Danio rerio: one gene and its partner. The protein of the gene in region 1 purifies or fractionates together with the protein of each later gene. This does not show direct contact. Links are inferred from orthologs where the notes say so. Each region holds a gene or a part of one and is shown on either strand. Other genes may lie near its edges.

The links.
Region 2: the proteins of lmna (region 1) and hnrnpm fractionate together in Homo sapiens (co-fractionation; 3 studies listed by BioGRID, with this or other methods). This does not show direct contact. The link is inferred for Danio rerio from reciprocal best matches to the Homo sapiens genes LMNA and HNRNPM.

Annotation. Positions count from the first base shown.
Region 1 is NC_133191.1:33,779,276-33,784,240, forward strand, and holds part of lmna (lamin), read right to left. Parts: intron 4,124-4,965; 5' UTR 4,103-4,123; coding exon 3,756-4,102; intron 1-3,755.
Region 2 is NC_133197.1:17,230,242-17,235,206, reverse strand, and holds the end of hnrnpm (heterogeneous nuclear ribonucleoprotein M), read right to left. Parts: intron 4,937-4,965; coding exon 4,816-4,936; coding exon of another isoform or gene 4,729-4,815; coding exon 4,589-4,728; intron 4,486-4,588; coding exon 4,332-4,485; intron 4,238-4,331; coding exon 4,188-4,237; intron 4,107-4,187; coding exon 4,046-4,106; intron 3,960-4,045; coding exon 3,861-3,959; intron 3,760-3,860; coding exon 3,718-3,759; intron 2,998-3,717; coding exon 2,908-2,997; intron 2,798-2,907; coding exon 2,693-2,797; intron 2,609-2,692; coding exon 1,995-2,608; intron 896-1,994; coding exon 844-895; intron 759-843; coding exon 595-758; 3' UTR 378-594; downstream 1-377. UniProt on the Homo sapiens protein: Pre-mRNA binding protein in vivo, binds avidly to poly(G) and poly(U) RNA homopolymers in vitro. Involved in splicing.

The DNA.
Region 1 (4,965 bases):
CTCCTCATCCACCACCACTTAGATGACGTGGCGGCAGCCTTATTGCGCCAGACCACACACCAACTGATTGGTGGAGAGGAGACAGAGTGATGAAGCCAGTTTTGATACGGGGATGGTTAGGAGGCCAGTGGGCAAATTTGGCCAGTATGCCGGGGTTAAACGGCAACTATTTTTTGAAGGACATCCTGGGGTTTTTAATGACCACATTGAGTCAGAACATTGGTTTAAGGTTTCATCCGAAAGACGGCGCTCACTAAGCAATAGAGAATCCGCTTCACTATACTGGGGTGTTAAGACCCACACAGACTGCAGGATGTGTACTCCCTGCTGGTCTCACTAACACCACTTCCGGCAGCAATCTAGCTTTCCCAAGTGGTCTCCCAGCCAGGTGCTGACCTGGTGTAGCCTTGCTTGGCTTTAGAGGGTGACCATGTGAGAGTTGAGAGAGCTAGCTGCCGGCCAATACACATTTGATGAATACATAATACACATTTGACGATCTTATTTTACAATGATTTACTAAAGATGCCCATTTCAATGGTGCTAACAGTTTCTAAACAAAATAAACAAACAATATGACTGTTTTTAGAGAATCATTTGATGACATTAAAGAATACTATTTAATGATCACCAGAAAGAAGTTCATAATCCTTTCAACAGTTATCACTTATTCTGCAATGCATTGTCATAAACATCAAAATAAATATAACGATTAATTTTTCATGTAAATATACCCATTACACTGAATGGCGATGAAGTGTTATTTTCACCCATATGCTAAGCTTTTATTTGCACAAAAGTTATTTGAAACATTAAAGTAATTATAATTGGCTTTTGGCGGCATAGTGGCTCAGTGGTTAGCACTGTCACCTCACAGCAAGAAGGTCACTGGTTCAAGTCCCAGCTGGTCCAGCTGGCATTTCTGTGTGGAGTTTGCATTGTCTCCCCACGTTCACGTGGGTTTATTTCAGGTGCTCCGGTTTCCCCCACAGTCTAAAGACATGCGGTATAGGTGAATTGAATGAACTAAATTGGTTGTAGTGTATGAGTGCGTGTGAATATAAGAGTGTTTCCCAGTACTGGGTTGCAGCTGGAAGGGCATCCACTGCATAAAACAAATGCAGAAAAAGTTGGCGGTTCATTCCTCTGTGGTGACCCCAGATAAACAAGGGACTAAGCTGAAGGAAAATGAATGAATTGACTTATTATCCCTTATTCCTATCATTATACTGAGTGACGCTAGTGGAGGCTCAACACACACTGGGAACTAATTTAACTAATTAATCATCAAAACAACTCACTACAGTGCAAATTATAAACATGTATCATCTTGCTTACTGGTGAAAACTTCACATAGTAAAAATGTTACTCTCATTTCTTAATCAGTACAATATGTTACCCTAGCAGCAAAACAATAAAAAAGAAGACTTTATCAAACTATAAAGAGGAATGTAATGACACAAAACAGAAACAGACACACTACACAAGTTGCAGAAGGGTGTGGCAGAGAATCCAACAGACATTTCCCAAGCACACACAACACACCCACATTCACACCTCACATACCTGCTCCACTGAGCAACAGACATGGCATGCGTGTGGTTTTAGTGTTGTTGTTTTTATGAAATCATTTCTACTTTGGTGAGAATATCAAACCCAAATCCCAAGGTTTAGAACTACAGGGATTATTTGTTTAAAGCCATGATAATAATTTAAATTAAATAAATTTCATTTTAATTTAAGAACACATCAAACAGAGTAAAGCTCTGAGCTGTCAGCCTCAGTGACAGGAGCAATAAGCAGATGTGCAGTGTAGAAAACTGCCGTCATGGTTCAGCTAAATTTAGCCAGGGACTAGGCTGAGAGCCCAGGGGCAGGGGATAGACACCGTCCTGCTCTTTAGGGTTAAACTTACAGTATCTCTAGGATGTGTGAAAGAAATCTCAGAGAGCAACAGAGGACAAGCACTTGCATTAGCCACTGTCTGCAGCTTTTGAGTGTTTTATGGATCAGTAAGCCACACACCGTTCTGAAACTAATCCTAGTGGAAATACTGTTGGTTCCAGGGTGGAATGAGTCACAGTAATTGCCACTCATGTAACTGCAACTTTAAACTGCAGACTGGTTTACTGGTTTGACTGGCTTGCTGGTTTTAAGAGACTTTTCATTCAAATTTAATTTATTCAATATTTGAATAATTGTTCATACATGACCAAGTGTAAGCTTGTCCGATATTGATTCTTCCCTGTAAAAAACGATTAGTCACCTTACATAAAAAGTAAGCACAATGACTTAAGTGCCTTGTTGCAACTTAAGGCAACTTATCTTTATATTTTTATAATAATACACATGGTTCATTTACCCAATCATTTTATGAAAACATGTTAACTGATTTTTTAAAGTCAACAAATCCCTTAAAATTATTTGTTTACTTTTGATCACTTTTTAACCAAAGTCAACTAATGGCTGTAAAAGCAACAGGTTTTCTAATGTTTTTAAAGGCAAATAACCACTTTAAACGGAACCAGTTTACTTTATTGTTATAAGCAAAGTCAACTAATTGCTTTAAAAGCATCAGGTTTACTAACACTTTTAAAGTAAAGTCAACTAATCGCTTTTACAGTGTCGTTCAGGCTCAAGCTTGTCCTTTATCTTCTTGAATTCTTTGTTGGCTATGCAACTGTGCTGTTTTCTAGACTTGCATATAACATTATTTCATCTTAAAGTTAGCTGTTGGCTTACTCCACCTATGGGCAACAAGAAAAATATGTGATGTATGCCGTGAAGCAGATCGTACTGTTCTGCTCATAGACGTTTCTATATTCGCTTATGTTTCTGCTGGCAGGGGATGGTTGAGGCAGTGTGTACTGTGTATTGACTCCATTACCTAAACTTGCATGTGTGGTTTTAGAGACAGGTTAGCAGAACATGGTAGATCTACACAGAAATGCCAACTGACCCAGCCAAGGCTCTAACCAGTGACCTTCTTGTTGTGAGGAGAGCATGCGACCCACTGCACCACCGCGTCGCCTATCATATCAATATTTCTGGGAATTTATTTCAATAATAATAAAACATTTTGATAAGTACAACAACAACAAAAACAAAAACAACAGTATTTGGTGCCAATAACCCTCTCATAATTAGTTACTATTCATTGAATCATTCATTCAAATGATTTGTTCAAAACTGCTAGTTTATTTAGAAACAAATCCAGTGACTTCCTTTATATATGGATCAATTAATCAATTACACACAAGTCAAACAAAAACAGATGGATTGAAAAATTACAAATATTCTGCTCCATGGCTCGCAAAATCTAGTAGCCCAAAGTCCCAAAGCTATTGTTTTTTTTTTCAGTCAGGCTACCAAAATCCATCTACACTGTGCCCAGTGGGTTATCTAGTGGGCATGGTGTAGATCAAATTTGGTAGCCCCACTGAAAAAACAATAGCCCCGAGACTTAGGGCAACTAAATTTTGTGAGCCCTGTGTTCCTGCATAGTTTGAATATATTTTCATCAACAATATAAAAAAGCTTTTAATAATGTGTCTAAAATGTAAGTTTTATGTAATAAATCATTACTGAAATTCAGAAAAATAGCATGCTTGTTTTTGTGATATCATTACATTGTATCCTATAAATACTGAAAACAAAACTCCATATAGGGATAACATTCAACTTTCTAATAGCCTTCATACTCTTACTAATATCAATGTATAAAACTTTTACATAAAAAAAAAATGAACACATACCTGGCCTTCAGCTCCTTGTAGTCCTCACGCACTTTGCTGAGCTCCAGTTGCAGTCTGGCTCGTTCTTTGGCCACCGAGTCCAGTGTTTTCCTGGCATCTGCGAGTTCAGCCTCGTACGCCGCTTTCATGCCACTCAGCTCCCGGCTGATCTCCGTCTCGGATTCAGTGATGCGCATACGCAGACCTGCGTTCTCCACCTCCAGAGAGCGAACCTTATCGATGTAGACCGCCAGACGGTCATTCAGGTTGCTCAAGTCCTCCTTTTCCTGCAATCGAGAGATGCGGGTAGGGGACAGGACATTGGTCACCCCACCGCGGCTGCTTCGTTTCTGACCTGGAGTCTCCATGGTTGTCTGGAACTACTGATACTAGAATAGAATAGAATAGAATAGAATAGAATAGAATAGAATAGAATAGAATAGAATAGAATAGAATAGAATTATTACAACCCTTTCTAAATAAGAGCATAAATCAGATGCTGTTTGGAAAAGTTGCCAAAAACCCAACCTCTCATTTAAATGAATAGGGAGAGGGTTTCAATAAATTGAACAATGACTGTGTTTGAATATAGGATAGAATTTTTTCATAAATAATATGTTCAGGTATCTTTTAAAGTCAAAGTCTGTCTGTTTAAAAATGATGCTGTGATTTATTGTGCTAATAAAAAAGAAATAAACACAAATGCTGCAAAAATAAGTCTATTTGGTTTATCTCTCTTTCAAAAAAAAAAATCCAGGAGCATCCCGACAAACTTTTCCTGAATAAACATTCAAATAAATCTCCAAAATGTTCCCTCTTGAATACACAAACCCAGATAAGATCTTAACCTCAGATAGGGTTTATACTGTATACATTGCAACTTATCTCAATTAAAGTATCCTGACCCATTTTACAATCGCTGAAGTAAAACAACTAAAATTGGGGGCGTCACAGTATTGAAGTCTGAGACTGTAAGTTATTATGGTAATAAAAATAAAATAAATGCAAATCCAAACTCCATCCCTTTTCTGTTCCCTCCCTAACTTTGCGTCTTAAAGTTTCTGCCATGCCCAACCACTGATCTCATCCAAGAGCATTCATACAAACATTCCCAGCATAAACATTTATTAAAAACCTTCAAAATGTTCCTTCCTGGCTAGACAAACCCAGATAAGAGAAATGGGGTTTATCCTGCATTCAACTTATCTCACATAAAGTATCCTGACCCACT
Region 2 (4,965 bases), on another chromosome or scaffold:
TCCAGCTGGTTTTTTTTTTTTTGTATCGTGTAAACTTCAGTTGGGATGGTAAAGTCTGTACCGTCTCAGACATACAATTGTATCAATCGCTTGCTCTTCCAAAAATTGAGCTGTTTTGTGTGTATGTGTGTGGTCAAAAGAAAAACAAGCTGTGTGCCCCCCTTCGATAGCAAAAGAGCATGGCAAAATGTGAGTATTTGCATTGATGTACAGCATAGACAGTTACCTCTATGAAGAAGACCACCACCAATGGACTGATGTGTGTACATTTTGTTCAGAACCTTCAAATAAACAACTTGATTCACTTGGCTTTTGTTTTTAAAGTGATGAGATATCCGGGTCTAGTGATCTGAAGAGAACCACACAACACAGAGTGCTTCTGTTCTCAACACAGATTTATTAGCAAACCTTTAACAAAGGCAATTTGTTGGAAAGCATCACAATAAAAAGTGGGCAAAAAAAAAAAATTTGGTCTCTAAAAAGTCATAAACCTAAAAATGTACCATTTGGCACAAATATGTAACTGACAAATAACCTGGAAAGCATAGTGTATGGGGTGGAGGGAATCGAATATGGAAGGCAAAGAATGTAGGATTACGCATTTCTGTCAATCCTGACGTCAATCTCTCTGCCGTTGAGCCGGTAGCCGTTCATGGTGCGACAGGCTCGCTCAGCGGTCTCAGGATTGTCAAAGCGCACCACACCACAGCCCTTAGACTTCCCGTTCTCCATCTTTATATCTGCATACTGAACCATGCCTGGACGGAAAAACACACAGAAAATACATTACAAATGTTGACAGAATAGAAGTCTGGGTTTAGTAGGACTGGAAAGACATCTCACCACAGGAATTAAAAGTGTCCTTCAACATCTTCCAGGTGAAGTCAAAGGGCAGCTGGAAAAACAAATGAATTCATTATTAAAGAGTGGACAGAAACATCGTTTCCTGACTGATGATGCAACAGGCTGTGTGGGCGGCCACAAAATAGTGACGGTTTTCACTTTCTAATCAAATCCTGCATAAAATGAACTTGTTTAATCTCACCAGTCAATTATCATCATGAGTTTGAAGAGTTCTGAAGATTTTCTTATTGACTTTAGGCAAGAAATTTAACTTAATACATCAACTTCATAGAAGCAGGATCAGTTTACAATTGATGCAAGAGGTATAAATTTGTTAAGTCTCAATTGTGAAATGCAGTTAACAGTTAATTAAATGAAAACAGAATACAACTTTGACTACAGTATTCAACATTTGACGTGTATCTAAAAAATAATGACCATCAAAGTTGTCCTACAACTAGTAAACACCACTCATTGTTTTAGGACGATTTTGAAAAACACGTTTATCCACTTCATATTAGTGTTGTCAAGATACTGGAAATCAGTACCAATAGATAACAAAATTCTAAACCGTCCATTTCCCGCTAAAATTCGACCGCACTCAGCGGATTGGCTATTGTGCTCACATGCTCGACAAAAATGACTGTGATTGGCTGTGAAAATCATCAGTTTACCAAACTCACCGCTGTTTACTGAGTGGAACCACAGATACAGGAACACTGAAGTGTTTTAAAGTCACATCAATCATCTGGTTTGTCTACAAGCTGATGAATCATGACTTTAAATTGCTCCAGCGTCCTTGTATCTGTGGTTCCACTCAGTAAACAGCGGTGAGTTTGGTGAACTGATGACCTTCACAGCCAATCACAACCGTTTCCTATGAGCTCAACAGCGCTCAAATGCTAGCGGGAAATGGCCGTTTTTAAACTTCAGTATTGATTGGTACCAAATTCCAGTATCATGACAAGCCTACTTTAAATGTTGACGACTGTCTGCTATTGCCCACCAGTTTCAGTTTTAAACTTGCTCATCATAGTGTGGTGTTATTTAATAAATATGCAAGTGCATGTACACAACAATATTAATCCCATTGTTCTTGGTTTAATCCTTCCCTACAGTATTACCCAATAATAAGAATACTGTCTGCTTACATTTCTGACAAAAATCTGGCAGCCCTTCCTGGCATTGGCTCCACCAGACCCTGGTCCTCCTCCTTGCCCAGACCCGCCGAATGGAGAACCAAAGTTACCACGGTCCATGTCTCCGGGCCTGTCAAACTGGCCACCGATGCCACCAGATCCCATTCGATCCATGCTGGAGCCCATGCGGTCCAGACCCGAAGAGAAACGGTCCATGCCACCAGAGCCCATGCGGTCAAAGTTTGAGCCCATTCGATCGAGACCTGTGTTCATCCGGTCCATGCCCATGGGAGAAGCAAAGTCCATTCCACCGCTCATACGATCCATGCTGGACGAGCCCAAGCGGTCAAAGCCACCAGGACCCATACGGTCCACGCTAGTGCTCATGCGGTCCAGGCCTGAACCCATACGATCCATGCTGGGGCCGAGACGGTCAAGCCCTGACCCCATTCTATCAAAGCTAGAACCCATGCGGTCCAGATCAGACATGCGGTCCATTCCTCCACCTCCTCCTCCCCCTCCCATGCGGTCCATTCCTCCACCTCCTCCTCCTCCTCCCATACGGTCTATTCCACCACTAAGCCGATCCATGCCAGAATTCATGCGATCCATACCCATGGAGTTTCCTGGGAATTGGAAGATTTTAAAAAATGGGTTTACATATTGCACATTTTCATGTACTTTACACAATTCTGTACAATGTTACTGACCCATTCCTCGATCAAAAGAGTCTCCAAAGTTGCTGCGGGACATTCCCATGTCATTACGACCACTGAAATCTCGATCAAAGCCACCACCCATTCCACGATCCATATCTGAAGTCAAAAGAAAATAAAGCTTTACTCTCACTTCAACTAGAACAATTAGACAAAGACAAAAAATAAACTGATTTCATACATGCATATAATAAAAATAAAACTCATACCATTCATTCGTCCCATTCCAGAAGGTCCGAAACGATCCATGTTGTTCATGCCGCCACCACCACCGCCGCCGCCTCCAAAATTGTCCATGCCTGAAGTCATAGATAAATTATGCACCAAATTAAAACTCACAAAAAAATCTTTAATGCAGTGGATAAGTAGTGTAAAAAAATTAAAAAAAAATTGTTGGGGATAAAAAGCCTCAATATAAAATGAAATACCATTATTAATTAAACAAATCACAATTCAGATCACACCAAATTTACATTGTCACGACTATTTGTCAAAATATGATTTTGGCATAATAAGTTAGATGTAGAGAGTCTTAAGTGAATTAGCAACGCCAGTGTTTTGGGATGCATTTCTCTTTTATTTGGTGTTTTATTGGACAAGCCATGTCTAAGATACTGCAAAACATCCCGACAAAGATGGGCAAGTTTTTTGTTTCAGTAATATCAGAGATTGACTGATAAGACTGCAGATGCTGTTTTGCACACAACCTTCAAACATGGCCATGTAACCTCCTTAAAAAATAATCTGAAACAATGCCTATTGTGACAAACACTTACTATGAATGCAACAGAAGTAGGAATAATAATAATAATAATAATAATTTAAAATCCTGCACCTCTTTAGAAGAAAATGTATAGATCAAGACAGCTTGGGCATTGCCTTTTCTATCAAACTAAAAACCTTCAAAATACAGCATGCAAATCAAATTCAGTAAACCCTACTGATATGCGATAAAAACATGCCCCGAGGGGAAGGAGGGAGGGAAAAAAGGGCTTGAGATGTCCCATTAAAACACATACCTCCCATTCTACCCATGCCACCATAGCCCATTCCATCCATTCCTATGGGGAAAATGAATTGATGAAGGGAGAGGGGGATGATGGTCAGTGCGGGAGAACATGCAGAAACAATGCATACAATTCAACAGGAGACATGCGTTTACCTCCTGGCCCCATATTGCCCATCCCGCCACGATTGAGCTGCGTAGCATCAATGGGTTGACCGCCGGGTCCCAGACCAAGACCAACACCGCTCAAACCACCTGGAGGAGATTGTGGAAACTGGTTTAGAGAAGAATTGCAATGAAAATTGCTAAATGTGAAGGCAGCAAATATAGTTAGCACTTACGAGGAAGTGCTGGAGCACGCTCTGGGGGTGCAAAGTCTCCTTTTGGAAGGGATTTCTCATCCTAAAAAGACAATGACCGATTTGAAGGGGGATTTGGAAGAGTTTAGCAAACATAAATCACTAAATCAGCTCGTTTACTTACCAGTTTGACATGCATGACCCGGTTGAAGAGGAGCTGACCATTAAACATGGCTAATACAAATTAAGGAACAATTTTCATCCATTGTGTACATTTATATAGCATAACTTCATTTAAACCAATAGCACAAACTATCATGAAGGATACAGACTGCCTGAACAGCCTCAATAGGCATGTCAAATGTGACCGTTCCCATGCCTCTGCTTTTCCCATCTTTATCCTCCAGGATATCAGCACGCACGACCATACCGGCCATCCCGAACACCTCTTTCAGTTTCTTCCATCCCACTTTGTAGTCCAACTGTGCAAAAAAAAAAAAAAAAAAAAAAAAAAAAGCCACATCAATACTCAGCGGGCACATTTTCAGAATCTTCATATGGTCCACAAAGGGTTAAAAATCTTACATTAGCCACAAAAATGGTGCTTCCAATTTTTCCAGCTTGGAGGCCGTGGATGACCTCGTTGGGAATGTTAGGGTTGTTCATGAGACTGGGAGGGATGTTGACCATTGAAGAAGAACCAGGTCCTGGGCCCATCCCCATTCCTCCGCCCATTCCTCCACCCATGCCTCCGCCCATTCCTCCACCCATGCCTCCGCCCATGCCACCACCCATGCCTCCTCCCATGCCACCACCCATGCCTCCTCCCATGCCACCGCCCATGCCTCCTCCCATGCCTGGGGGTCCACCGCCACCTCCGCCACCACCATGACCCCGGTTAGCTTCACGCTGAGAAATCACTCCATCTGGATCCTGAGAGCAGCACAAGAGAAGCATTTACT